Linked DNA regions of Schizosaccharomyces pombe. The gene in region 1 interacts genetically with each later gene. Each region holds a gene or a part of one and is shown in the gene's direction. Other genes may lie near its edges.

What was found.
Region 2: of yps1 (region 1) and krp1, extra expression of one rescues a mutant of the other (dosage rescue), as found in Schizosaccharomyces pombe (one study listed by BioGRID).

Annotation. Positions count from the first base shown.
Region 1 is NC_003421.2:971,702-987,400, reverse strand, and holds yps1 (yapsin Yps1), read left to right. Parts: upstream 1-6,466; 5' UTR 6,467-7,222; coding exon 7,223-8,788; 3' UTR 8,789-9,174; downstream 9,175-15,699. Other genes in the region: P-factor pheromone Map2, read left to right, coding at 717-1,322; sws2 (mitochondrial 37S ribosomal protein uS13m), read left to right, coding at 2,410-2,690, 2,761-2,935; vid21 (NuA4 histone acetyltransferase complex scaffold subunit Vid21/Eaf1), read right to left, coding at 3,158-5,852, 5,910-6,190, 6,273-6,281; protein SVP26, read right to left, coding at 9,277-9,960; translation initiation RNA helicase Sum3, read left to right, coding at 10,730-12,640; SPOM_SPCC1795.12C (uncharacterized protein), read right to left, coding at 14,239-14,577. UniProt on the Schizosaccharomyces pombe protein: Cleaves at paired basic residues.
Region 2 is NC_003424.3:5,029,406-5,044,974, reverse strand, and holds krp1 (kexin), read left to right. Parts: upstream 1-8,394; 5' UTR 8,395-8,405; coding exon 8,406-10,535; 3' UTR 10,536-10,788; downstream 10,789-15,569. Other genes in the region: ribosome biogenesis protein rlp24, read left to right, coding at 303-307, 358-496, 744-1,178; putative histone H3 lysine methyltransferase Set3, read left to right, coding at 2,494-5,073; etp1 (monooxygenase-ferredoxin fusion protein), read left to right, coding at 5,872-7,483, 7,529-7,767; RNA polymerase I upstream activation factor complex subunit Rrn10, read right to left, coding at 11,152-11,319, 11,372-11,497; RanGAP Rna1, read right to left, coding at 12,031-13,191; alpha-1,2-galactosyltransferase Gmh3, read left to right, coding at 14,977-15,569. UniProt on the Schizosaccharomyces pombe protein: Membrane-bound, subtilisin-like serine protease that processes the P-factor precursor and other precursor proteins. Essential for cell viability. Cleaves substrate on the C-terminal side of dibasic residues.

The DNA of each region.
Region 1 (15,699 bases):
AATCTGAAGTTCATTTTTTCATTCTATGGCGGTATGCTATTGGTTGAGTACACACAAAGAACAATGGATAGAGTTTTATTGTTTACATTATCAAAAAACCTTTAACCAATAAAAAAAATAGCCGCTACCAGAAAAAAGTCGCTTAAAATTAATAAGTCTTTTGATTGGTCGCTGTACATAGAAGTTCATTTTGGGTGGACGACAAAAAAATAAGCGAATATCTTCAACCAATCAGGATAAACAGCGATAAAACGAAAACGGGGAAGTCATTAAAAAATGGCGGTTAATGTCAACAATGAACAGTTTGAAAGCATAGAATTCCAGATTTGAATTGAGGGAAACGGAGCACTACAAAGATGTATAAATACAGGCATTCTGTCCCAGAAGAAAACCAGAATTCGTTCAAGTCTTCTATTTTACATATTCACTCTTTCTATTTCTTATTCTTCACTCTACAAGAACTCGCGTTGGGTGTGAATTTACATCCCTCTTGTCAACAAACCTGCTCCGTTAGCTAATTTTCTGTAAATTTGCTTCGATCTTTCTTATTCTAATCTTTTAATCCTTTTTCTTTTGGAATTTTGCCTTTTTAAACTCTCCCTTTTTTTGAATCAGTCAACAAATTATAATTTTCTTCTTTTATTTGCTAGTTCATCGCTTAAACTATCTTTCTTTTTCTAACTTATCAACGAAATTTTATTTTTTTCACATACATTATGAAGATCACCGCTGTCATTGCCCTTTTATTCTCACTTGCTGCTGCCTCACCTATTCCAGTTGCCGATCCTGGTGTGGTTTCAGTTAGCAAGTCATATGCTGATTTCCTTCGTGTTTACCAAAGTTGGAACACTTTTGCTAATCCTGATAGACCCAACTTGAAAAAGCGCGAATTCGAAGCTGCTCCCGCAAAAACTTATGCTGATTTCCTTCGTGCTTATCAAAGTTGGAACACTTTTGTTAATCCTGACAGACCCAATTTGAAAAAGCGTGAGTTTGAAGCTGCCCCAGAGAAGAGTTATGCTGATTTCCTTCGTGCTTACCATAGTTGGAACACTTTTGTTAATCCTGACAGACCCAACTTGAAAAAGCGCGAATTCGAAGCTGCTCCCGCAAAAACTTATGCTGATTTCCTTCGTGCTTACCAAAGTTGGAACACTTTTGTTAATCCTGACAGACCCAACTTGAAAAAGCGCACTGAAGAAGATGAAGAGAATGAGGAAGAGGATGAAGAATACTATCGCTTTCTTCAGTTTTATATCATGACTGTCCCAGAGAATTCCACTATTACAGATGTCAATATTACTGCCAAATTTGAGAGCTAAACTCATTTTATCTTCATATTTTTTTTATTTTCTAGTATGTTAGCCCACACATCTTTACAAAGCCATGTGAAGCAATTTTTTAAATTAATTGCTATTTTCGATCTATTATTTTACCATACGATCTGTATTCCTATTCGCAATAATATTTTTAATTTTCATCTTAGTCTTCATATTGTAAAAAAAAAAAAAAAAAAAAAAAAAAAAAAAGAAAAAACGTATAGTAGTTACAATATTACTGAAATCTACAGTACTATACTTCTTTCAGTTGCTTTGTTTTTTAAAGTTAAATAAAACATCAATTTAAAAACTGACTATTAAACCACATGATTTGCGGATTGCTTAAGTAATAATAAAAATGAACACTACCAATTGTGTTAAGCGATAAAATTAGTCATATCCCATATAAGAAGAAAGCACTGAAGTTTCAATTGAAATGCGGAAAGCTACTGCTCATTTAAAATGCCTAGGACCTGCACAAGCATAGCAATGTAAAGGAGCTGCACTTGAAATATATATGACAGTTGAGATCCGCAAAGCATTGTTAGAATATATAAAATTTTATTCCAAAACTTTTTACTGTACTTCCGCATGTACTGTTGAACATTCAACTTTGTAAGAGACAGTAATGTCGTGAATATATTTTTCAATAATAAATTTTAAACTGAGACCATTGAACGAAGGGATCATTTGAGTTCATAAATTTTAAAATTTGAACAGAAAAGGAAGGCCTTTGACGATATCTCTTCTTTATTTGTTTTTCTTCGTCTTACCTTGCCCTATTTATGGTCTTCTTAAACATCAAATTACACCTTAGATAGTAGCTCTTTAATGATTACTCAAATTGTCTTTTATTACTAGGCCCGGAGTCTGTACAATCTAACTAGTTTTCTAAAAATATGAGAGATCCAACTGTGTATTATATCTAAACACCACCACTCCACTCTTTTACAAGAAAGCCTAATACTTATATTCAGAACGGTTTTAAGCTCTCTGATTACTGATAGAGAACTGAATTACAAAACCAAATTGTCCACTTCATTATTGAGCTGGTTTCTGTCTCATCTGTTGATATCTGAGATTTTGCATCATGGTATACATACTTGGAGTGGCTGTAAACGACGATAAACCTGTGCGGTTTGCTCTACTTTCTTTTTATGGAATTGGACATGCCAAGGCTGAAGAAATATGCGCAAAATTATCATTTCACAATACGTTAAGGGTTCGAGAGCTGACAAATGTTCAATTGACAACGTTGTCGCAACTGCTATCAGGAATGACTATTGAAGGTGACTTACGGCGTCAACGGAATGCTGATATCTCAAGATTGGTGAATATCCGATGCTATCGGGGAATGAGACATGTAAACGGGTATGAAAAGATCATTTGTGAACGTAGCTGTCTTCGACAACTTTTTCAACTTAACTAATGAATATTTCAGGTTACCCGTTAATGGACAGAACACTCGGACGAATGCAAAGACTGCTAAGAAGCTAAACAAAGTCCCACGACGAGGTTATATGACACTGTCGCCCGCTTCTACAAGGCCCATCACATGGAGTTTTTGTCTACCGAGAATGGTGTCTGTCTTTCAAAAATTAAAACATATTCATTAGCTAAAATAACGTTTATGAAATCAAACTTCACTTATCATGTACACTTCGTATTACCTCGATTTGCTTGATTCTGTTAAAAAACCAACAACCGGGATACGAAAATGAAAACGTATTCTATTTTTATTGTGTGAGAGAAAAAGCTCTCGCCTCGTAATTTCCTTCTAATATACAACAGCACTCAAAAAAAATACAATAAATCGAAAAATTGCATTGAGGCGATACTTACTGTGTCCTTTCAGTAGTAGGTACAGTTTGCTTCCTTTGCTGCAACTGATGAATTTGTTCAGGTGTTAGTTTTAAAGAACTGGAAACAGCGTATGGCTGAAGCCTGGGGACCATTCTACCAGCTATAGGCGAGACACCCGCTGATGAATTGTTACTACTATTTTGTGAAGCAGCTACAGCTTGAAAGGCTGCTAGTTGCTGGTTGTGTTGTTGTGCACCAGCAGCAACAGCGGCGTTTTGCGGCCGTAGAGCCCTGTTTTGTGATTGCAATTGTGCAAAGTTTCTCTGAGCCTGTATTTGCTGTATTTGTGCCTCACGCTCAGATTTCAAACGAGAAAGTTCGAGAGGGGAAGGAACCGGCGGCAATTTTTCAGTTGAAGCTGCAGATGGTGCAATCGCTCTCTTGGTCATAGTGGGTTTTTTAGCAAACTCTCTCTTTTTAAGGATCTTTCGTATAGCTTCAAATATAGTAATGGGTCGGTAATGTCTTGATACAGTTGGCAATAAGAAGTAAGAATTATGTTTAATCAAATGGTTAGGTGTTCCTTCATCCCGTAAGGATAGATGTTGGCTAACTTTATCCGAATGTCTTAAGGATTCATCTAATTTCTGCTGAGCGAGTCTTGCATGGGAGCCAGTCAATTGGACATTGGCGGCTCTGGGATCCACTTGAATCCATCTTTCAAAACAATCCCACGCAGTCCGCTTCTCGGCAAGCGGTATGTACAAACCTGGTGGTGTTAACCTACTGGCAACAAATTCCCAATTAAAGGAATATCGTCGCAAGAGTAATAAAAGGAGTTCATCTTCTTCGGGCAACCAAGGGGCTTCTGGACGAATATCTTTACTAGAAGGCGGATACGGAGGCCGCACACTAAAGGTTCCTACTGAGGATAGCTTCTGATTATCATCCTTAATTTTATTTCCATCTAGCTGGTTCTCATCGCTTCTCGCCTTCTTTTCCATAAACGACTCAGGTGGTGATAATTCCAATTGGTTGAACAAACGTTTCCTAGAAGCCTTTGCACAGGTGGATTTAAGCTTTGTTTTGGCATATGCAAAACGTGACACAGGAGTGATCGGGTACTTTTCAGATATTTCTTCACAATATTCATTGTTTTCAGTAGGAGGACCGTACATAGGAACGTTTAAAACGCAGTTCTGAATTTGTTCGGAGTTTGTTGTCACAAATATATCATCCGAAAAAACAGCATTATAAAACTGTAAAGAATCCCTGGGAATAGAGAGCACTTTGTTGTTATTATTATCATTTAGATTAAAATGGCTCACTATTTGTTCATTAAACGTTTCCTCGTGAGAGTCTTTCTGATGTTCATTCTCTTGCATGTACGGCTTCTTATTCTTTGACAACGAAGCCGGAGTACAAACAGTACATTTATCACTAGCTTGATGGTAATCCATTACCCAATTCGCCATTCTATGAGCCAATATAATTTTCCATTTACGCTCTTGAGAAAAATCAATTGACATCCATTGCATCTCATCCAAAACATAATCCCGATGAGTTTTCAATCGTGGCATCTCGTTTTGTCTTTTGGGCTGTCTAAAGGACCAAATACCTTTTTCTTTTGCAACCGTTAAATGATGTAGTGATTGTCGTACAATTTCCTCGCGATACGCATGAGACCAGTTATCTGATAGAACATATTTATGTGCATTTTTCAACCTTAAATGTAAAGGCGACATTTCTGTTCGAAGCAGCCATGCTTCTGAGGAAAGCTCTGGTTTCACCGGTTCAGAAAATTTTGAAGGAGGAATTAAAGTTAGTGGCATAGATACAGAAAGTTCAAAAAGCGGAGCTTCAACCCCAGTTCTGTCAATTGTAGGGGATTTTTCCGATGGTAACTTATTTTCCATTTGTAATTTACTAGGCTCAACAATTTCATCTACTGGCTTCTCGTTGACATCAACCGCTACTTCCTGAACAGGAGATTCAGTGGCCTTGTCAACGGAAATGATTTGTTGTTCCGAAGGAATCTCTTGATTATTTAATAATTGTATAGTTTTTTCAATATCAATACCTGATTGTACATTCTCAACATCATTTTCAGTGACCTTGGCTTCAGGAGAATGAACTTCTTCAACTTCATCAACCTTTGGGACTTTATCTTCAATTTCCAAAACTTCTGCAACAGTGACAGGGGGAGCCGTAGGTTCCGTTGTCTCTGATACCTCTTTCTTTTTCACTTCTTTAGACTCAACTTGATCAGTCGCAACCTCTACCGGTTTGGTAACGGTCACATTTTCTTCATTCCCATCTTCCTCATGTTCCTTTTCGGTAGCTTCAACCACTCTTAATTGCTTATCGACTCCTTCTTCTTGAGAGGATTTGTTTGCAAGTTCTTCGGTAAGCTGTCGAGCAGCATACTCGCTATCTGGCGTCAAAGGGCCTTTTTCCTCTTCAGCATGAGCAGTGGTTTCCACTTCTTTTACGGGTGTTGTTGGTTCAATAGTTTCTTTCTCTTCTACGTCAATATTTTTATGTATAGTTTCAGGTGAAGGTATGGGAGATTTTGACGTTATAATTTCCTCCTCGCTAAGTTCTAGGGAAGTTTCTTTTAAAGGTGTCTCCTCTGAAACTCCTTCCAAATTATCGGGTTCTTCGGGAACTATCGGTTCTTCAACGATAGGAGTTACAGATTCTCTAGCTGAAAGATTAAAATTTCGCCCCCTTGCATGTTAGTTGTACATTTGAGGAAAATACAAAAAGTTACTCAATGAGACATACCTTTTAAAACGATACTTTTGATAAAAGTTAAACCACTCAGAAACTTGCTCTGGTAAAAGATCACTTGATGAATGAAGCCATTCTAATCCATTAGGAAACTTGCAATGCAACCAAAATAAAAGAAGTAACTTTTCATGTTTCTCTTTTGTTAACTTAATCTCTTCATTGTCTACAGAGTCGTTTTCTTCTTCTTCGTCTAGAGTAAAAAGGGAGGCAAAAGAATCTGTTATCGATAATTTTTCACCATCGACTAAAGCAATTTGACTGGTTTTGGTCTCCTTCTTTTTAATTAAAAATATTAATTAGTTATCGAAGTACAATAAAATTATCACTTTAAGGCCCGTAAGACTCGTAAAAACGTACCTGTTTCATAATCCCAATTTAAGCGGAATTACGCTGGAAAAAGCATACAAATCGTATTCTAGAAAAGACACAGTTTTGCTTTTATATTTATTGTATGATGATATAAAGAACTCAAGGATCCTGTATACTTTCAGACCTAATGTGAACGAAGTTAGTCTGATGGTGTTGAGGCCCCCCAAGGGATTTGAGCCCGCAATCAACCACCATATTAGGTGAAGTAGAAAAACAAGGAAATAGCACTCTACTAGGACACAGTTTTGAACTACAAGTACAGCAATAAGACTGTCTTTTATTTTCGTCTTTTTGTTGCTCGGAGAAATCGCTTGTTCTATTTAAAAGTTGAGACGTTACCATAAAGGTTATCGGCATATTTCAAAGCTTTAAAAACGTTTCCCTTTCAACTTAAATTATTCAAAAATACATTCAGTTGAGCTACATGCCAAACCTACTATCATATCATTCTAAAAAAACTATCGTTAAGTGATCTATTTCTCCCTTATTTTCAATTTGTATTTATTATTTTACGACGTGCTAGGAATTGTGAAAGACTCTTATTTATGATCAAGTTTTTCTAGATTTTTGCGTTGCATTTGGTTTTTACATGCATCTATTGCTCATCCCTTGAGGATTATTTCCACTTTCTGTTGTGGATTTTCTTTTCTTTATAAAGCAAGATTGCCAAATTGTTGCTCCCAACATAACAAGGGATAATAACAATTCATCGTTGCTTTCGTTAAAACATTCTTTCATCAAAAGAACTCGGCACCTGCTCTTTATTCTACTTTGCATTTTTGTTTTAGTTCCGTTTTGCATATTCTTATTTCTTCTTCTCATATTACTTTATTCTTATTCTTTATTTCTCTTTTTATCTGATAATCACCTTGGTCATTTTAATTTACCTCTATGTAAACATTCTTGCATCTATATTTTCTTCTAATTATTTAAGGATTATGAGGATTTGGATTTTAATATTTTTCTCCTTCATTAAACTTGTCTCTTCGTTACAATATACGGGAAATGGTGTTTTAGCTTTGGACTTCGTTGCGAAAACTTTTCCCAACCAGGAAAATCAATTAGAGAAGCGTGACTATACTTATTCTCCATCTGGTATCACTTCATTTCCTTTAGATTTGCAGAGTTACACTTACTACACTACTACCCTTTCGATCGGTCGTCCGAGTATTTCGTACACTGTAGCTATAGATTTGGACATGCCGTACACATGGTTGACTTACTACAATGTAATGGCGTTTAATCCAGCGTATCTTGGCATAGTGAATAGTGGTACTCAGTGGAGTACGGATGAACTGCGATACTTTCTTTGTAAAAAAGAAAGTGATTCTTGTTATTTTGGGAATGCATCTTCTAGCTTCCATTTTGTTACGAGTCCAAGCACTTTTTTTATCCGCTATGACGATAACATTACAGTTGCTGGAATTAATGTTCAGGACTCCCTTTCTTACAGTCATTATCAAGCTTTACCGGACTTCCAATTCGGCATCACATTAAAGGAGTATGTTCCCAGTTCAATGCTGCCGTACAAAGGCGTGCTAGGTTTAGCTGCCAGTACCGAAATTAATTCAATAGATTATTCGGATTCCATTTCAAGTTTTTCACCACCAACCTTTTTGGAACAACTAGTTAAAGAGGATATATTGGCATACCCTGCTTTTAGTATGTATCTGGATAATCAGGGTAATGGAAGTTTACTTTTGGGAGCCGTGGATACGTCAAAGTACCAGGGACAGTTTGTCGCTTTGAAGCAGACTAAGCTTACGCATTACGCCGTTTCCATTTACTCTGTGCAGTTCTTAAACTCTACGTTCTTTTCTAATTATTCTATCATCACTGATGCATACTTTCAAACTCGTGAAACTTATATTTATTTGCCTGCCGAATTGGCTTACAGTGTGATGGATAATGCTGGTGCCTACTTATCCGAAGGCTATTTCGCATTAAACTGTGATGAAATTGATTTGGAAGCCGCTCTGATATTTCAATTTGGATGTAATTCAACTATCAAGGTACCGATATCGTTGCTAGTGATTGGGCAAGTTTCAAACATATGTCTTTTAGGTATTCGACCTTCGACGGATAGTGAGATTGTATTAGGTTTGTTATTTTTTCGAAACGCCTACACATTTTATCATCAAAGTCAAAAAATGATTGCCATTGGGCAAGCCTTTTATAACGCAACATCCAACTTGTCCGCCATCGTGGATCAACACATTCCTGGTGCTCTAACTTGTTCGCAATATCCTACGAGTGTGGCATCTACTCAATTGGTTCAGACTAGTCACTTCACATCCACATCGTTGTCTGCTGTGAATATTTCGGAAAGCGTCGTTTATTCCTATACAAGTAGTAGTAGTATGCCCTCTTCAGCTATTCCGTCCTTCAACATCTCTTTGATTTCTCAGAATGCGGTTGCAAATGCTGGAAATTCGTTTTCTCCGTTAAGTGCTATGGTCATTATGATGATGTCTGCTGTATTTTTAGGACTCGGTATTATATAGTCGATACTGATTAATTAAATGTGTATTTTATCAATTTTACAAGTGGCTAGGGTTTACTTGGATATATTTAGCTTTCTATCATGTTAATTTTTATTGATAAAATCGTTATGAACAAGACGTAAAAAACTCCGTTTCATATGAATATGAAAAGGCGTCATCTATTTCCTTTAAATGCATTTTCTACACGTCCGAGATGAAATTTAAGTCAAATTGACAATACAATTTCCATGTTGAAAAAAATAACAATAGGCAATCCTAAAGAACAACGACAAAACGTAAAAGAAGGATAATTTTGTTCGCTCAAACTGACCGAGAAAAAGTTAAAGTGTTGATGAAGAAAGTATGAAGAAAACTATATACAAAATAAAAGTCGAAAAAAAAAAGAGATGCAACATGTTGTGAGTAAATGATCACATAAGAAGTACAGACATTACAGTAAAGTTAAACGAATCCTTAATTTAAAAAGACAAGCATCCCTCAAACTCAACTCAGACGTAACGTTCACTTGAACGATCACTCAACCCCAAAGAGGTAAGACTACGTTCGACGAAGATACCTAACTTTTTATAAGCTTGTCGAAGTACATTCGACGTCCGACGAGATGATCCAGAAGAATAAGCATCAGGGGACGAGGAAGACGGGGTTGTAATGGTAGGAAGTGTATTGTCAGCAGCGGTAAAGGAAACAAAAATACCAATAGGAACAGACCATACGCATACCCCCATAAATGAAGCAACTTGTGAAAAGGAAGCACGAGAGGTCAAAAGGCGTTGACCAACAAAATCGTAAGTGAGTCCACGAGGTTTAATAGGGAATTCATGCACCTGGAAAAAGCGGACCCATAAGATATGATTCGCGACAATAAGGAAACATGCTAGCAAAAATCTCATTCTCTTAAATGAGAAGAAAGGAAAGGTATCAAAGTTGATTTTATAAATGTAATGACTGAAAATGGAGAATGCCGAGAGCCAAAAAGGAAAACCATCAAATATAACCAAAAACACCATTACCGCCATAATAAAATAAACCAACCGACATAAAAACGCCTTTGCGAGCCTAGAGTGCTCTTCTACAAACTCTGAAATGTAATACAAAGCTGATGCGATACTCACGGTCATGCCTATGAATCCCAAAACGATACCCAAGTACGACAGAGCATTAAGGACAATCATTTTGAAAAACGCTTTTAATTATGTCGTATCTAATAATCTTAACAAATGTGATTTTCTTTGGACTTCTTCAATATAGATAAATATGTTCGGATTTGTCGAATAAATACGGTTTTAATGCACAGCACCGCTTACAAAGCTTCTGCCTAAAGGTTTTAGCAATTTCTTAAGTTGCAAGGCACAATAAAAATATCAATTTCTATATTTTGTAGTATTGGTTGGTATGGGAAGACAGCAAAACCATGGCTGGTACTCCTGAATATCACTACGACCTTAAACAGAAAGCAAACTGTATGCTAATAATTGTAAATTTGAAAGTTGAATTTTCTTATTCCAATTAAAATGATTAATATGTATACTAAGTCTGCTATTTAGAGACGAGCATAACGGTGGTTTTTAGTTTTGGTGAGTGGCAATCGTGTACCTACATTACGGTGCCTAAATGTTTAGTTATATAGATTATAAATATATTTATATAGTAAAACCTTTCAATTAATTTTTATTCTTTAACGTAGTCAGATGATAGCACGTGTACTGACTTAAGGTTTCAAAAAAACTATTAATACCCATACATATTGGTATCAAAATTAACTAAAAAATAATTTTAAATTGTTTAAATGACTTTTTATCCTTGTTAAAAATTGTTTTCGTTGACATATCTAATTTGCTGAGGGGTTAAAAAGGGCAGTCCCATCGTGTATTTGGTAGCATTTAATGGCCAACTTAACCTAACCTCAACCAAACACTTCAACTCAGAAATACAAAAAATATTATGAGCGACAATGTACAGCAACAAGTAGATTCAGTTGGTTCTGTGACTGAAAAATTGCAAAAAACAAACATCAGCAGACCTAGGAAGTATATTCCTCCTTTTGCTAGGGATAAGCCAAGCGCTGGCGCAGCTCCAGCTGTTGGCGACGATGAGTCTGTCTCATCTCGTGGCTCTTCTAGGTCTCAAACTCCTAGTGAGTTTTCCTCTAACTATGGAGGTCGCCGTGAATACAATCGTGGCGGTCATTATGGTGGTGGCGAGGGCCGCCAAAATAATTACCGTGGCGGTCGTGAAGGTGGTTACAGCAACGGCGGTGGTTATCGTAACAACCGTGGATTTGGCCAATGGAGAGATGGTCAACACGTTATCGGAGCCCGTAACACTCTTTTGGAGCGTCAATTATTTGGTGCCGTTGCTGATGGTACCAAAGTTTCAACTGGTATTAACTTCGAAAAGTATGATGACATCCCTGTTGAAGTTTCCGGTGGAGATATCGAGCCTGTTAATGAGTTCACTTCTCCTCCTTTGAACTCTCATCTTCTTCAAAACATTAAACTCTCTGGCTACACTCAGCCCACCCCAGTTCAAAAGAACTCCATTCCTATTGTCACATCCGGACGTGATTTGATGGCCTGTGCCCAAACCGGTTCCGGTAAGACTGCTGGTTTCTTATTCCCTATTCTTTCTCTTGCTTTCGATAAAGGACCTGCCGCTGTTCCTGTTGATCAGGATGCCGGTATGGGTTATCGTCCTCGCAAAGCCTATCCTACCACCCTTATTTTGGCTCCCACTCGTGAATTAGTTTGTCAAATTCATGAGGAATCTCGTAAATTCTGTTACCGTTCTTGGGTGCGTCCCTGTGCTGTTTACGGTGGTGCCGATATTCGTGCTCAAATCCGCCAAATTGACCAAGGTTGCGACTTGCTTTCTGCTACTCCTGGTCGTTTGGTTGATTTAATCGATCGTGGTCGTATTTCTTTGGCCAACATTAAGTTTTTGGTGTTGGATGAAGCTGATCGTATGCTGGATATGGGTTTCGAGCCTCAAATTCGTCACATTGTGGAAGGTGCTGACATGACAAGCGTTGAAGAACGTCAAACTCTCATGTTTTCTGCCACTTTCCCCCGTGATATCCAACTTTTAGCTCGTGACTTTTTAAAGGATTATGTCTTCTTGAGTGTTGGTCGTGTCGGTTCCACTTCGGAGAATATTACTCAAAAGGTCGTACACGTTGAAGATTCTGAAAAGCGTAGTTACTTGCTTGATATTCTTCACACCTTACCTCCTGAGGGTCTTACCTTGATCTTTGTAGAGACTAAACGCATGGCTGACACACTTACCGACTATTTGTTGAATAGCAACTTCCCCGCAACAAGCATTCACGGTGACCGTACCCAACGTGAGCGTGAGCGCGCTTTGGAATTGTTCCGCTCTGGCCGTACTTCCATTATGGTCGCTACTGCCGTCGCCAGTCGTGGTTTAGATATTCCCAATGTCACGCATGTTATTAACTACGATTTACCTACTGACATTGATGACTATGTGCATAGAATTGGTCGTACCGGTCGTGCTGGTAACACTGGTCAAGCTGTTGCGTTTTTCAACCGTAACAACAAGGGTATCGCTAAGGAATTGATTGAGTTGTTGCAAGAGGCCAATCAAGAGTGCCCCAGCTTTTTGATCGCCATGGCTCGTGAAAGCAGCTTTGGTGGTAATGGACGTGGTGGCCGTTACAGTGGTCGTGGTGGTCGTGGAGGCAATGCTTATGGTGCTCGCGACTTCCGTCGCCCTACTAATAGTAGTAGTGGTTATAGCTCTGGCCCTAGCTACTCTGGATACGGTGGCTTTGAAAGCCGTACTCCTCATCATGGTAACACTTACAACAGTGGTAGTGCTCAATCCTGGTGGTAAATTTCCTAAAAAAATATTTTTATTGGGTTACGTGCATCTGTGTTATGCACAGGCTTCTGATGATTTCCTTTAGTCAGAGGCCGAAGTATTGTGTCCATTGTTTTGCTGACATTTGCAAAGCGCGAGGATGTCAGAAAGGGCGAAATATTTGGCTTTAATTAACTGTGATTGAGTGAGTTGCACGAAACGTCTTTTGTTTAGGTCCGGTTTTTTTCATTTTTAAGCTGGGCTTGGACGGATGCTCATTGGGTGTGCTTTTTAATCGTTGCGGTTGTGGAAGCGTTATGTAAAAACGATCCGGCAAAATTTAGTATGCGGTGTTGTGTTTTATTGCATAATAAGATGAGGCGAAAGTTTCAGAAGTCAATGCGTGCATGATTTATTCACGGGACTTTTTAAATAGAATATGCATATTTGAAACATTTGCATTGACGAAATGGATGTACGAATACGACGGGCATACAAAATGACATATATTATACATATTTTATATATATCTATTGATATGTTGAAAATTTCTACAGGCTTTGAGCTCATGATTTTAAAAATCAATGATGGATCTTTTTTTACGAGTCTGTGTTTCTTTTTTTCGAGAGAACTTGGAAATAGGTTAGTGTCTCTCTTTTGTTGGATTGTGGTTCTTGGGTAATATTTCTTTAGGAAAAGGTTTACGATTCTGCAATTTGTAATAATAGGATGCGCGCTAGAGCAAATTAATAAATTTTATTGCAATAATAAACTATACACATGTTATTAGGCAAATTAGTTATTAGTAAAATTAAGGAATGTAATTAGTGATATGTACAGTCAGAAATACTAGAAATATATACGAAAGATTAAGTAACGCAGCTACAATGATCACTGATACAGAAAGTATTTAAGGGTCTAGTTGGACTAGACAATTGTTTATTTATTGTGTCGCAGTAGTCACAATCAAAAGAAATAATTAAATAAAAAATTAGAAATAAATGGTGAACCACTTGGACCTATATGCTTTGACGACATACATATTAATAAGTGAGGACAATGTCAAGGGTAACTTAAGTAAATGTTGAAGAAAAATGCTTGATGATTATGTTTTTACGTTCTCAATTAAATAAGTAACTTTTCAATTAATTGAAAAACGAATATTAATGAGTAACCATGACTAGGATTAAAAGAATAAACAACCATACTTAAACTTAGTATTCAATAGATTGTTGAGATTAAAGAGAACAAAAATTAAGGAAACAGATCACAGCACAATTTCATCAAAAAATTGCAATTTTTCTTCGTTTTTCTTTATGTTTTTATATAATATAAAAAATTGATGAAAAGCAAGTAGTCCTTCTCTTTTTTTTTTTTTAAAGAAAAACCGAAAACAAATGTAGAAAAGACAAGTTAGGAAACAGGTTTGTAAAACAAGCAAGCTAACCGAGAACAAAAAGAGACGCATTTACAAGGGATATAAATATGTACAATTGAAGGTGCGAAAATTTTTCACAAGTCCTTGCGCACTGGGAATGCGATAAAAGAAAAAAACCATAGGGAACAACCGAAGATCCAAAGTACCAACAAAACGAATGAAGCTCTTGCTCTAAACATTGTTAAGAGTTAATTTAATCCCGGAAGGAAACAAAAGCAATTAATAAGATGAAAGCGATTAGAAACATTGAGAGAGTAAAGATGAAAAGTCGACGAGAGGAAGTAGACACACGCTTTAAGCGTTGAACTAACAGCATGTGCTTTATGGGGTCGATTCTCTTTCTAGGATCTCTGTTTTCAAACTGCAACTCATCGCTGTCGCTATCATCAAAGTCTGGGAATTCATCTACTTCTGTTTGAAACCGAACATTTTTGCGGATTCGTTGTCGAGGATCGCTTTGCGAAGCAGAAATATCATAGAGGGGATTTCCCGTATACACAGGAGAGTAAGATGTTGTTGTAGGACGATACATAAAGTCAAATGATTCAAATTTAATTAGATTAAGAATGTGCAAAAGATAAATTCTATGCAAATCGGATCTTGGATATCATAGCAAAATACCGGCACGCTATCTACGTTTACCGATGGTAGTGTACACTTTTGGCTTAATTGGTTTATCAACTTTGATAAATTACATTACAATATTTGTGATACATAACGTGTACGGTATTGTTTTTCTGATACTGAACGAATTTTATGCTATAATTATGAATGATGGATTAGCAAAGTCTCATGGGTATTTTGCCTTTCAATTGCTATTTTAAAAGTAAGATTAATTGAAATTAATTGACTCTTTGTAATTCTGTATTGGTTCTTCTTAACAAAATCACTTTGAAACTTAACTTTTCTTTGCTTTAGTTAGATTTGGAATGCATTATTTTATGCTAAAGAATGTTGTAATTTTATTGCTTGGTGTCTATCAATATTACTGTGAACTGACCGCAATACTTTTTTAAAAATATTTTTCGTTAGCAATAAACTTGAAATGAATTAAACTAAGGCATAGCCATTAGTAGCATGCTTCATGTTTGGGTGATAAAAAAAAGTAAACATGATGTCTGAAAGCAATTGTTAGATGGAATGTCTTCACCAACGTGATCATTGGGAATTCTTGAAAATATTTTAAAAAATATTTTATTTTATTCAAAACAATTGAAATTCCGCAAATGATTATTTTCCCTCAAGGTAAATTAAATCCTTGTTAATAAAATTTATTTACTTCCATATTATAAACATAGTTAAATAATATTTTTTAATTTTTTAATTTTTTTTACATGCTACTTTTTAATTGAGAGTTGAGCTCTTAAATCGAGGAACAAAAGGTCAACATTCATTAGAGTAAGATATGTTCCGTTTGCATTTCTAAAAAAATCATTCAAAGTCTCTATTTAAAAAAAAGTAATATAAATAAATTAAAGGGAAATCAGAGCGTCAGCGATCCAAGCTTTGGTTGAAAAATATTAAATAATAGGTTGCAAAACGCAGTTTAAACAACTTCATACAATTCCTATAAACAAAGAATACAATGTATGTGAAATTTAATGCTATCAATTATGTAAATGAAATGTATCTTTAATATTTATCTTGCTGACAA
Region 2 (15,569 bases), on another chromosome or scaffold:
CGTAGACACGCCTTTGATAAAGAAGCGATATGAGTTAACAAAAATTGAAGATAAAATTTATTATTAATAGGTTCCTAAGATTGCGTCCGAGACCATTCACTCGAAACTTCACCGAGATGGTATTTCATTAAATAACGCAACCTAACGATATATCATAAATTAGATAAGGCATATTTGGAATTCGCAAAACGCAGCTTAAGTAGAAGCTCGCATCTCAAATATGTGCGTTGTAGGGAGCGCGAATTTTTACCTGCTCTTAGCCAACTTGAACATACAAGGACGGGAAAGAATTTAGGGGGAATATGAGGTTTGTAGAGCTAAATGCCTTCAAAGTATTTATTACTAACGGAAATTTAGGGTACATACTTGCTATTTCTGCTCGGGTCCTGTTTACCCAGGACATGGAATAATGTTTGTTAGAAATGACTCCAAGGTCTTTCGTTTCTGTCGCAGCAAGTGCCATAAGAACTTCAAAATGAAGCGCAATCCTCGTAAGGTATGTTTTTTTTATAATAAAGGAATGCAAAAACGTTATACAGACTTGGTTGAGGAAGATGATTGATTTTGAAAGAGGAAAAATTTTTTTCTGTTGCCTTGTTTTGAAATGATACTTTTCTTCTTCAAATTCTACCTTAAATGGTGTACTTTTTCCTTTATATGCCCATGAACGAAGAAAGTTTTCTATTGTTTTTTTAAATGTTTTGCTTCCACCTATATGTATGTATACTAACTTCAATGTCTAGGTTGCTTGGACCAAAGCGTACCGTAAGGCACATGGAAAGGAAATGGTTTATGACACAGCTCTCGCAGTTACCGCAGCTCGTAGAAATGTTCCTGTTCGTTACGACCGTAATGTCATTGCAACTACTTTGAATGCCATGAAACGGGTTAGCCAAGTTCATGCCAAGAGAGAGCGTCTGTTTTACAAAAAGAGATTGGCTGGCAAACGTGCCCAAGAGCTTCAAGAAGCTCAAAAACTCATTGCTCAAAATGTTCCTCAATTTACCGAACCCGAAGGTGAGGTTGAAACTGCTGAGGTACAAGAACCCCAAATTGTTTCCGACGAGGAGTATACCATGGAAGAAGAAGTTGCAGAACCTGTCAAGATTCCCGTCCTCGCCAAAAAACGCAAAAACAAGAAATCTCGAAACTCATCTTCAGCCATGCAAATGGACTAAACACTCTTCTTCCTACAAAAATGTAACTCTCGATCTTCCGTTGGTTGCGTCCCGCTTCGTTCTTTTATTTTATTTTATTTTATTGTTTTATTCCTTTCAAATTTACAAAATAGTAGAAGAGAAGACATTTTTGGGGAGTGGTTTTCTTACACTTTCGAACTCTTTAGACACTTCGAAAACGTGTTTTTTAAAATTTATCTTGCATATCTAAAGTTGGCATTTGGTTTCGGCTTCTCTTCTCGTTTGGTTACTTCTTTGGACTTGCATGCTACGTGCAGATTAATATGGTTAATAATGGATTTTCGTGTATACATACTTGTAAACGAACCTATCTTCAGTTTGGAGCTTGTACAAGATACAACAGTCTAACAGTTTGAAAAATGGTTGTTTAGGAATAAATTGGTTTATATTATTAGTTTCGTTTATCACAAATGCCTCTTCGAAATGTAAAATTCTACTAGAACGATAGAACATTGCTTCATTATTTGGATTCAATTCTCCATGAGGTATATTTAGTAAGTCATAAAACAGTAAAGACTTTGTCATTTATGCTGGTTTCCTTGCATATACATTTCTCTATAGTTGACAAGCCTATTCAAGTCTCATATCACTGTGGAACTCATGAAAACAGATCCCTCTCCTTGTAAAGCTGTTTAAACCCTACAGTCCAATGCTAAAGGTTGTTAATTCTTTAGAGTTGCGAGTCCGTTATTGACGTTTTCGATTGCTTGCGCACACTCACTAACACCATACATTAGCTAACTACTGACACATTGCACCTGCCGTTTATCTCAACTCATTGTCTTAGTAGATGATTTTTTTTTTTCAAAATGGTTTCTTAGCAAGACTCATTAAAAACTCCTTGACAGTTTTATTACCTTCTAAAATATGTAAAATGAGAAGTTTCATAGAGAAATGAACTATTCTTCAACATCTTCTTCTCTTTGTTTTTACCGAGGAGACGTTAGACTGCGGAAACGTGGTTTATGGGACGTGTGTTTACACTCGGTGGATGGAAATGTTGAAGAGCGGAATAATCGCGACGTCGTATCAACTACCAAAATCGCGTATGCAAATTGAAAACAGAGTATTTGTTCAACTTACATGGTTTTTCGAGTATTTATATACTAGATTCCTAGTTTTAGGAGAGTTCAGATAATCGAGATAGCCATTGGTATAGTTGGGGCTAAAATCTTTGCTTTCATAAGAAAGCAGTAATTTCCAAGGTTAAATTGCTCCTGTACAGAAATTAGCGTTTATGAAATACTTCTTTACTTTGTTATAAGTTGATCGTTTTCTCTTTGGTTAAGTTAGCATGTGGAAAATACGATGCGTTTGTCCATTCGAGGATGATGACGGATTCACCATCCAATGCGAAAGTTGCGAGGTATGGCAACACGCCGTTTGTGTAAACATAGATGCAAATAATGTTCCTGAAAAATATTTTTGTGAACAATGCCAACCTCGTCCTATCGATGCCGACAAGGCGCATAAAATTCAACTAGCTAGGTTACAGCGCGAAGAAGAGCAGTCTAGGATATTATCGCGATCCCGTTCTTCCAACAACAAGAGAAGAACTAGTTTTGGCAAAAATGGTGCTAGTCCTACACACTCTGCGTCACCGAGACAAGGCAATAACACAGGCGCTAATGGCGCTTTATTTTCACAGTCTACCAACTCTTCGAACTCGGGGTCTTATCGTAACAGTGTGACTGGTGCAACATTGCCCAATGCTCATGCTCCACATTCTCAGAATCGCAGACGAAGATCCAACCACCTTAACAACCCACCAGAGGCTCCAATCACCGAGGCTTCTAACGAATATGTGTATTCGTTTCACTTGGAATACGTCCCTTTGGAATCAAACACCTTTTCTGCATCTGCGCTTGAGTATTCTAAGAATTTGGATTTAAAGAATTTAGATGAATCCGAAGTTTTAATGGATGGATGCCAAGTCGTACCTATATCATCTTCAAAGTTTTGTTGTAGTCGCTTTGGTTTGGTGTCAACTTGCGAAATTCCTCCAAATACACCCATTATGGAGGTGAAAGGAAGGGTTTGTACGCAGAATGAATACAAAAGTGATCCCAAAAACCAGTACAATATTTTGGGGGCTCCTAAGCCACATGTCTTTTTTGACTCAAATTCTCAGCTTGTTGTTGACTCACGGGTTGCTGGTTCAAAAGCGAGGTTTGCGCGTAAAGGTTGTCAGTCAAACTCCGTCGTTTCAAGTGTTTACATGAATGGGTCTAACAGTGTTCCTCGATTTATCCTCTATTCAACTACTCACATAGCTCCGGAAACAGAGATTATTGGGGATTGGACTCTCGATATTTCCCATCCATTTCGCCAGTTTGCGCCTGGTATGTCGCGACCCTCCTTCAATATGGAAGAGTTGGAATTACTTTCAGAAGTGCTTTCTACCTTCCTGTCGTTTAACGAATGTGCCTCACAGGATAAGAAAAACTGTGTTTTTTCCAGAGTTACTAAATATATTAAAGCGGCCCGCCGCGCTTCTACTGCAAACCGTGTCAGTGTAGCAAAAGACCGTTTGTCTCTGACACCTTCCTCAACCCCTTCTACCCCTAGCCCTGCTGAATCATTACCGCAACCTTCAAACCCCACATCGGTCTATGCCAAATCCTTGAAAGAGTTTTGGTTAGATAAGTACCGTCTTAGTATTTTGCAAAAATGGCCTGCTGTTAAGTCATTACCCACAGAAAGTGTAGGAATCGATGTAGTCATGGAGCCGAAGTTACAGCCATCTGTGAAGGAGAAAAAACCAACTAAAGATTTACAATCTCCACTACCCTCTGTTGAGGAAGATTCCTCTAATAGGGACAAGAAAACTGATATTGCTGATTTACACACTGATTCTAAGGTGGGCATTGCAGACGTCTTATCGCCCATTTCACCCGATGCTGCATTACAATCCGATGGTCCATTGAAAAAAGCAAAGGAACCTGAAGAATCCTCGATAACCCCTACAACTCCTCCATCTTTTAATGTTGGAGAATCACTAAGTAGGCGATCAGCCTCACCATTACAACATCCTCGAACAAGCCCAGATATGCTGGACAAAACTTCTCCTTGCAAAAGAGGATTAGGAACTATTACGACAGTCCACAAAAAGCATGGTTCTGTTGATCATTTGCCGTCAGTTAAAAGACGCCGTAGCATTGCAAATGATTTTCATGGCAAACCTGATTATAATAAAAGATCGCTATCTATCGAAAGGAAGCCGGAAGCCTTTAAGACTAAAGGTGACAGACCACATAAGGTCCATCCTTCTTTCCATAGAAATTCAGATTCAAAATTGAAACTCGAGCCGTCGAGTAAAGAAAAGAGTGGGTCCATGTTTTTTAATACGTTAAGGACTGTAAAAGATAAATCGCATGTTCACGACACTCAAAGGTCTTCTGACGTTAACTTTTCTAGACAGAATGGCACTCGATCCCATTCACCTTCGGTTAGTCCTGTCGGGTTTTCGTTTGATAAATCTCCTGTAACTACGCCTCCTTTGCCGACAGCTCCAGCACCAGTTATAACGAGTCGCCATGCTTTGGTAAACAACCAATTTCCTACGAACAATCCAAACATTTTGGACCACAAAGCCAACAACGGTGATGATATCTCGAATGCGTTAAATACTTCAAGAAGCGAAAACAAGCCCAATTCGAATCTGGTCCAAGGAAGTGTAGTCAAGCCTAGTAACACTTCAGCCTCTGCTCTTCCTACCTCAGCACCGAAGAAGCTATCTCTTTCTGAGTATCGACAACGACGTCAACAAAACATTCTGCATCAACAGTCGAAGGATAATCAAGCACATGGCGATACAGCTAGGCCTCACACCGTTCCTGCTGCTACAGTTTCTAACCCTTCATTTACGCGATAAAAATTCTAGAAGATGTTGTAAATCTTGAAACCATATAAATGTGTGGATGATTTTTTTTATTGGATATGGTATACGAACAAGTTTTCACGATTCTAAAGTTGGTACGATGACTGCATCTTTTTACCTTCATATGTATTTTCATTTCATTTTTTTATTATGATGATTGGTACTCGGAGCATATTTTACTGTCACCTGCTTCTGCATTCTTTTCTTCTTCGTTTGTAAATATTTAATGACTAAGTGTTTGGGCGAAAACTCTAGTTCCTTTTTTTTTTTTTAGTTTCTTTTGATTCAGAGCAACGAACCCTCAGTCGTTGCATTTTTCTGTTCCTAATTTGCACGTTTAGAACATTGTACAATATAATAATATTAATTTATAGCAGTTAAATGATTTATGTTTGTCATATAGAAGTTTCGGTTCGTAAGATTATAAGAACTAACTATTTAAGATGTCAGCTATTTCCGTATGCGACATGTACTAGATTAAATAACTTTTTGGATACGCAAATGAAGCTAGTACATTTTGAGTATTAAGTATCATAAATATAAACATCGATTCAAATATGCTACGTGCAGATTTCAGCGAATTGTCGCATCAAATTAAACTATTCATCGACGATCCACTCAGATCTTGTATATATCAAACGGCCTACGTTAATATAGCTTGTCTACTTATAGCGACTCTGAAAGTGCGCCGTTAGATTATTGTGGTATAGAACCGGGAGGTTAGGTACCATTCCTCTCTCTCCATGAACCTACTTTTTTAAGCGAAACGCAAACAAAAGTAAACAATTACCAATGAACATTTCACGTTCATCAGGTCTGATGAGACAGTTCCTGCTTCAGCCCTTACGGAAAGGCTGCGACATTTCTTGCCTTGGAAGGTCAAGTTGGAGAATGAGCAGGAGCTTCTCTGGATCGAGTGTTTTAAATGAAATTAATTTGTCACGGACTAAGAATTTATTTTTGAATGATTGTAAGTTTAATAAAAATTCATTTGAAAAGTTTTTTGCTCGCCGGCTGAGTAACTCAGTCGCTCCTACACCAGGTGGCATCCTACAGGAAACCGAAAAAATTCCGAGTAAAAAGGTCGCCTTTTGGCTGCTTGGATCTTCTGCTCTTGTTCTTGCAATTGTTGTTGTAGGTGGCATTACTAGACTAACTGAATCCGGGTTAAGTATTACTGAATGGAAGCCCATCACTGGCGTAATTCCTCCTCTTACTGATGAACAATGGAACCAAGAATTTGAGCTTTACAAAAAATCACCAGAGTTTGAGAAGCTGAACAGCCATATGACAGTGGATGAGTTTAAAAACATATTTTTCTGGGAGTGGTTTCATCGTGTCCTCGGTAGAGGAATCGGCTTGACAATCCTTCTTCCTTCCATATACATGATTGTGACTAAAAGGGCATCTCCTTGGCTAAGCAAGCGACTAATCGGCCTTACGGGACTCGTTGGACTTCAAGGAGTCATCGGTTGGTGGATGGTCAAGAGTGGTCTTTCAGAAGAGCTCTTCAGTGATGGTTCTCATCCGCGTGTTAGTCATTATCGCTTGGCTACTCATTTAGCCGCTGCCGTTGCTCTCTATATTGGCTTGGTGTGGACTGGGCATGGAATCCTTCAACGACATGCCTTTTTGAAATCTATGAAGAGTGGCTCCACATCTCAATTGACTTCAATGGTTTCTTCAGTTCAGAAAATGAAAGGATTTCGTACTAGTGTTAACTCATTTGTTGGCTTGGTACTGATCACCCTTTTGTCCGGTGCCTTTGTTGCTGGATTGGATGCCGGAATGATTTATTGTACTTTCCCGGAAATGGGCGAAGGAAGACTTGCTCCATCTAAAAGCGAGTTATTTGATCAAAGGTTTTGTAGGAAAGACGACAAGTCCGATCTTATATGGAGAAACATGATTGACAACCCAAGTCTTGTTCAACTCGAACACCGTATCTTAGCTATTACTACTTTTGTTGCTGCATGTGGTCTTTTTATTTTTTCCCGTGCTAAAAGAAACATTTTGCCTAAGAAGATTAAAACTAGCATTAACGTTGTTACAGGCGTTGTAACTGCTCAAGCTACTTTGGGTATTATGACTCTAATCTATGTTGTCCCTGTACCTTTGGCAGCCCTTCATCAAGCCGGTAGTCTTGTTACATTAACCGCGGCCTTATCACTTGCTCAGCGCTTGCATCCAGAATACGCTTTAAAAAACATCCGCTCATGGACAAAATTAATCTCTTCTCCTCCCAAAAGTAGCATTTCATCTTCCATTTTGACTCAACAACGCCAATTCCATACATTCCGCCCATCATTCCATTCCGAAATTAAAAAGCCTTTGCCGGGCACTGGAATCAAAGTTTTTTTCGTCACGCCTGAAGGACGTGAAATCATGATTGAGGGAAATGAAGGTGATAGTATTTTAGATCTCGCTCATGCTAACAATATCGATTTAGAAGGCGCTTGTGAAGGGTCTGTTGCATGTTCGACTTGCCATGTTATCGTAGATCCAGAGCATTACGAACTTTTGGATCCCCCGGAAGAAGATGAAGAAGACATGCTTGATTTAGCATTTGGTCTTGAGGAAACAAGCAGATTGGGATGCCAAGTACTCTTAAGAAAAGATTTGGATGGCATCCGTGTACGAATTCCTGCTCAGACTAGAAACATACGATTGGAGAGACCAAAAGCTTGATTTTGTCAACATGCTTACAATTTGACAAGTGTCTCGTACTAGTATTCCATAAAAGTATTTTCTTCCGAAAGTATACTATCTCATCCGTATTCTCAACTTTCATTTTTTTTTTTTGGATCAAGTTCATGCCTAGCTAATAAATGCACATAACTAATTAAATAGTCAACCTGGCACATGGTTTTACATTTTAACTATATTCCTTCTTTATCCAGACTACAGTTGTTTTAATTATAAATTAACCCTTTGTTTTCAAATCTTACACTTAATCATGAAAACTTGTAATATTACTAAGACCAGGATGAAGATGGTTTCTAAATTTCATACTTTTAATGTTTTCATCGTCGTTTATATTTTTTTTACTATTAAATGCTTAAAGTTATTTCATGATTAACAAGTAGATGCTCTATTTTTCTGTATTGATGAAATGTAATATATAACATGGTATTATAGTAGACACACGGTTTAGCAATTGCTCACTTTTGCCATGTATTTCTTAATTGGAAAAGTTTAAATACTGACAGCTTTACACTTTATATGTGTTTTAGTCGAATGGCTGTTTTATTGTACATAGCCACCACTATGGTACAGTGGACACCATAATCTGTTAAGCCACCTAGTGCATACACCGTCCCAGCACCATGCATCCTGCTTTGCTATGTGGGCCAATTCTTGCAATATTTTTACAGTTTTTGGTTTCTTCTTGCTCTCCATTAGAAAACGATGATTTATTTCTAGTTCAAGTGGAACCTGAAGTTGATCCTGTAGTAGCAGCAGAAGCCATTGGTGCTAAGTATGTGCGCCCTTTATTAAATTTGAAGTATCACCATTTAATTAAGCTACATAAGGGGAGCGATGATTCAGTCCAAAGTTCAATTCGAAAACGAGGCATTGATGCCGGAATCTTGGAATTGGAGCGCCAGACGCCCAGATGGCGCTACAAGCGGGATGCGAGTGAATCTGATGAATTACTGAATGAGTTCTCTAATCATTTTGGAATTTCGGATCCTCTCTTTTATGGCCAATGGCACATATTCAACTCGAATAATCCTGGACACGATCTGAATCTACGTGAAGTCTGGGACGCCGGTTACTTCGGTGAGAATGTTACCGTTGCATTTGTAGACGATGGAATTGATTTTAAACATCCAGATTTGCAAGCTGCTTACACTTCGCTTGGTTCTTGGGACTTCAATGATAACATTGCTGACCCTTTGCCAAAGTTATCAGATGATCAGCACGGCACCCGTTGTGCTGGAGAAGTGGCTGCAGCTTGGAACGACGTTTGTGGCGTAGGCATAGCTCCACGCGCCAAGGTCGCTGGACTTCGTATTCTTTCGGCCCCTATTACTGATGCTGTTGAATCGGAAGCACTGAATTATGGCTTTCAAACAAATCATATATATTCATGTTCCTGGGGCCCTGCAGATGATGGAAGAGCAATGGATGCTCCTAATACGGCTACTCGTCGTGCGTTGATGAACGGTGTCCTTAATGGCCGAAATGGTCTTGGGTCGATTTTTGTGTTCGCTTCTGGAAATGGAGGCCATTATCATGATAATTGCAATTTTGATGGCTACACGAATAGCATATTCAGTGCTACCATTGGTGCTGTTGATGCTGAACATAAAATCCCATTTTACAGTGAGGTGTGTGCTGCGCAATTAGTTTCAGCATATAGTAGTGGCTCACATTTGTCTATATTAACTACAAATCCTGAAGGCACATGTACTAGAAGTCATGGTGGTACCTCAGCGGCTGCTCCGTTAGCATCTGCTGTATATGCTTTGGCGCTTTCGATTCGTCCTGACCTTAGTTGGAGAGACATTCAGCATATTACAGTGTATTCAGCATCTCCTTTTGATAGCCCTTCTCAAAATGCAGAATGGCAAAAGACTCCAGCAGGATTCCAGTTCTCCCATCATTTTGGGTTTGGTAAATTGGATGCATCGAAGTTCGTCGAGGTGGCTAAGGATTGGCAGGTCGTGAATCCACAAACCTGGCTCATTGCTCCAGAAATTAATGTTAATAAATCATTCGGGAGTGTTAACAATGAGACAATAACTGAAATGGTAAGCGAATTTACCGTTACTAAGGATATGATTGAGAAAAGCAACTTCAAAAGATTAGAACATGTCACTGTTAGGGTGTGTATACCTTTTAACCGAAGAGGAGCATTGGAGATTCTCTTGGAAAGCCCTTCCGGCATTCGTTCAATCCTTGCCAGTGAACGACCGTATGATGAGAATAGTAAGGGGTTTTTAGACTGGACGTTCATGACTGTGCAGCATTGGGCCGAACCTCCAGAGGGGGTTTGGAAGTTACTGGTTAATGATCGAAGTGGTGGAAAGCATGAAGGTACGTTTGAAAATTGGCAGTTGGCTTTGTGGGGAGAATCTGAAAACCCTTCTAATACTGCACCACTCCCTTATGACACTCTTGAGCTTCCAAAGGAGATGGTCTTGGGAATATACTCTGAACCAAATAGCGATCTGACTAACTCAAGTACCTTGTTGAGCCCTACGTCTACTTCATTTACTTCTTACACCGTATCTGCCACAGCTACACCTACATCAACGTCTCATATACCGATTCCTACAGTCCTACCCCCTACCCAACCTGTATTGGAACCCTCTTATAGAGAAATTGTTGCATTTATTACTTTCTTTTTGTTGTTTGCCTTTATTTTCGTTGCTGTCATATGGACATGGATTTCCGCATTTTGGAAAGCTAAAGCACCCCCACCATTGTCTCAGCAAGAAATTGCTTGAAAAGTTAACACTCGTTTTTTCACTTCTGTTTAAAATAATATGGACTACTTTTTAAAGTATGATCTCTTCTTAGATGTCACTTGTCATTCGTTTCATTCATCGATATGAAACAACCTAATTGGCATTTCTTAATTTTGCATTTTAATAAATACGCATGGACTACGTATTTAATTCGACCCCTTTGAAGTGTAATCATTAGATAGCGTGTATAAATACCAAGTAATAAAATGTATATTGGATTATGCTTTGGGTAGTTGAAGTGATTGTCTTTACGATTCACTGGTAACAGTATTCGGATTTAATAGTAAAGGCTTTGCAAAAAAAAAATAGTTGAAGTCCTAATATGTTTGCTAATGTATCGCAAAGCTTGTTAAAATCTTAACAGCATCGTTGCTTCTCGCTTTTCAGCAGCCTGCATACATGTCAAGCAATGTAATTACATCTGTAATGTTGATTTTAAACAATTATCAAAAGATAAAAATTTCAATACACAAATACGCATTCATAGCTGTTTAACAACTTTACGCCATATAGAAAAATCATCAAAGTTAGTCATACAAATGTAACGGAGTCATCTCGAAACAAACGAATGAAAAGTAAAATGTACAAGGATAATTCATCTTTCTTCAAATTCTTCCAAACAATCAGTAACCATAGCATCCATCCATTCAGTCACCAAATATCCCAACCCCAATAAAGCACTTTCATCCAAACACTCGAATGACTTTTTCCCTGTCGCAAGCATGTATTCTGTTGCAAAATCCTGGATGCTATGAACTAAATCCTAAACATAAAAAGATTAGTTAAACAAGTATTGGCAGAAGCTGTGAACTTACAGGATCCGGCAGTTCATGTGGAATTGGAACAGAAAAATCCTGTACTAAATCACGAGCTCTGTAAGACAATTCACCATCAGCATTCACCAAATTATACAAAGTTGGCCGAGTTGGTGGATTTGACATTAATAGATGGCGTTGGACGTAGAGTATGTACTATGCTAGGTGAAGCTTCTAATTCGTCCTTGCAGTAGTACAATCATATTTGGAAACACCAAGCTCAAGTAATGGAATCCCCACATTCTTAAAAGTTAACTGCGACTTACAGAAAATTTATCTCGAGGTTTACAGACATACTGAAAAAATAGTTCAGGCTTTACGACATAACAACAAAACAACTTTACACAGATACAATCCAAACCATATTATATTGACCCAATACTTAATTAAAGTGGGTTATTAATAAAACGTAAAGAACCTTTTCGCCATTTTTGAAAGGGGAATTTTTTTTCTGTCATATACAGATTTAATCTAATACTATTTATCGGTCCTGCCGCGTAAAAAGACAGAATGTTGATAAAAATGCAGAAGGAAATCGAATGGTCGATATAGACCATCCGTTGACCACAATCGTTCATTACCGCCTAGCATGAACAATAGAAATATGTTAAAAAATTTCGGAAACAGCGGAGCAGGGTTCGAGAGGGAAAGTAGTTGCTCTAAATATGAGCTTTTGATAGCTCATCAGCAAGTTCTTTGTCTTCTTTTTCTTCTTCAGAAGTCTCCGGCTCAGGGCTTTGAGACTCAGCTTCTTCTTCTTCATCCTCCTCCTCCTCGTCGGTAAGTTCCTCCATATCATCAAGCTCATCTAGTTCACCACGACCACGGGTGCTAAAGACTTCACGTATTTCATCAACAACATCGTCTTCTTCCGAAAATCTGTTTCCATTTAATTCAAGGAATAAAAGATCCGGCATTTTCTCATCAATCACAGTTTTTAGGGTCCGGACAGCATCCAGCTCTATCTCGTTATACTGTAAGCGTAACGTTTGAAGCCCAATATTTTCTAATTTAGAAAAAGCATCTACAACTGCGGCAGCACCGCGAGCAGATAAGAGACAATCGTTGAGGCCTAGTTCTCGAAGGTTGGGCCAGCTTTTCAACGCGATAGCGAGAGCGCTAGAGCCCAAGTGCGTAAATGTGTTATCTTGAAGATCGAGTACCTTTAGCTCTTGGCAATATGCTAATCCTTCAAGCAATAAGTGTTCAATACCTTCGGGACGGATACCATTTTGCACCATTTTCACTGTATGTAGCAAACGGTGGCTCTGGAAAGTTTTAGCCCATTCTTTCATACTCCCATTTTCTAAACGATTTCTTCCACAAATAATGGAACGCAAGGGAGGTGCATTTTTAGCTTTCTTGTTGACCGCCAGCTCTTGCAAGGCACGAGCAATTTTTGCGCCAGCTTGAGGACCGAGTCCATTATTGTGTAGGTAAAGATGCTCCAAAGGTGTGTGTTTTGAAAGAAAGTCAATCAAGGGCTCCTGTGCAGTAGGGCCAAAGGCATTATCGCTCAATCTTACAGTATGTAGTTTTGGGCACTTGAGTAAAGCTTGTAGCAACAGACGTAAAGCCTCAGGAATTTCATCTTTGACACGTCCAGTAAAGATATCACTAAACTCTGCAATTTCTAAATCTTTTTTTGAGGCAATATTCTCTGACAACCATCTAGCAGCTTCGGTTCCAATTGTGTTACCAGACAATACAATTTCCTTTACAGAATCATCTTCTAACAGAACAGCAAATACAGACTTCTCGTCTTCAGTTGTAATTGCATCTAATTTCAAAGACTTCCCTTCTATTGAAAAACGCGACATGGAGTTGGTTGTTGAAAGAAAAAATATAGCAGGTATGGTGGTGAGGAAAGATTGTGTGAACTAGCTGTGTATGTTAAATTTGATCGAGGATAGATGCTTCAGTCACTTGAATTCATGGCTTTTAAAAAAGAAACTAAAATAATATTCAAAGTAGAAGAAGAACGAAATTTATCCTCTTTTGACGGATACCCCCTTTACTCAACCTGTTTTTATTTACAAACTCAAATGCGATCTCTCGCTAATGAGTTTAATTTTAAGACGATTCTATGCTATTAGAAGTCATTTAAATTATTAGATCAGATTAGCGCAAACCGAAAGATACTCAATGTCGGAGTGGTGCATTAGTGCTCGGATACGTTCCTGAAAGACATGTATAAAACTTTTGTAAATAGGATGATTGAGCTTTTTTGACATTTATCTATCATTCATTTTTGAAAAAATAGCTGTGACAATCCTGTTGCATATAGTTTGTTTTTTTGACTAAGTATAGAGGATCTTATGAAGAACCTTTTTGAGTGACCTTAGTCCTGAATTCTTAGCTTAAGTTTGCTTTAACTTAATTGCATTTCTAGCAATTAACATTGCTAGATTTTTGCCTCATCGCTAGTCCATTTATAAGAATACGAAGTTGAACGAAGGAATATTGACCAAAAGAGCTTGGTGACTTCCAAAAAATGAAGAATCAAAAAGATCTGAAATGAGTATCCCTATCTTTCAGCTTTCCGCTTGTTTCGTGATCATTTCAGTTACTCACACATATACATTTATGAGTTGACCCAAAAAGAAAATCGGAAAGCGGGAGTTTAACAGATATATGAAAAATCAAGATAATAACAACAATTGATATTTTTAGTTTAACATTTCTTATTCATTACTGTGAAAATCCACGAGTCTGCACTCTAGACACATAGAATACTCTTTAAACAGCTTTCACATTATCAGGAAAGCTATTCCATTGATACTGTATTCTTTTCAGTAAATTAATTCTCATTTCATAGTTGTAACCATTCTCGAATTGGACTTCAGTCCGCATTCCAGTACTTGATCTGCTTTACCTGTTTCAACAATTTGAATCGTTTGATTATTTTCCCATTCAATCATGACATTGATTTAGACGTATTGCTGAATTAAGCCATTCCTGTTATTTGTCCCAACGTATAAAACTGGTTAAAATGTTTAAGTACTGTGAATCATGTCATTAAAAGTTTGGAAACGTGATTTTAAAGGAACAACTCATTATTTTGAACATAAATCATTACCATACAGATTTTTCTTCTTTTTCTTCTTTTATTATAAATAGGATACGATAAGTAGAGGAAACCGTAAATTTATGATGATTGACTCCATGATGCGGTAATTTCAATCCTTCCACTACACACTGCCTTTAATTCCAGGTCCATCTGGTTAATCATTTTTTAAAGAATCTAATTCATTCATATTTTTTTATTATAATTTACATTATATTTTCAATTTCTTTTTACTGTTTTCTCTCGTTTCTTGAGTCAACGGGCGAAGATTCGTGTTTCAAACGTAGTATTCTTTGGAATATCACAAATCTCATTTTAATTTTTAAAACGGCTTTCTAATTTTCTACCGAGAAAGAGTAGAAAGTTTCCCATTTCATTCATAATTTCTGATCCATTCTTGGTATCTTATTGTTTTGCTTTTATCCAATCTCAGTTTATATTTGTGAAACTTGAAAAAGAGTTTCTCTTGTCTCTAAAAGACTAAATTTTATTTTTTATTTTTTTATTAATTTGCATTTAACATCTGCTAATCTTTAAAATGGCAGTCCTACAGTGGAAGTTATCTCGTGTTATATTCGTGTTGTTAATCATTGGGATTAGCTCTTTTCTCATTTACTTCCAATTTGGAAACTCTTTTTCTGCTTCACCTGCTTTAGAACGTTTACAAGATGTATTTTCCAAACCAAGTGTACAAGAATACGACTACTTAGTACCTCTGGATGAAGATATGCAAGGCCTTAGCACGACGTATCATCAAGCGACAATTAACGAGGATGATCCTCAAGAGCCCAAATCCCATGAAATAGTAATCCTCTTAGCGAGTGATGGACGTTCAAGTGGCAATATGGCACCTGAAACATTTAATCAATGCATAGAAAACCGAATTAACTACGCAAAGCATCACAACTATGGCTTTGAATATGTTAATGTAAGCCAAATGAACATTCCTCCAGTGTGGGCCAAAATGCCCGCTATTATACAAACAATGAATAAGCATCCTCATGCGAAATGGATTTGGTGGTTGGACCAAGATGCGTTAATTTTGAACACAGAACTCTCTATTCAAGAACATATTTTGTCACCTGACGTTTTAGTGGAAAAGTTAATGAAGAATGAACCTATGATATCTCC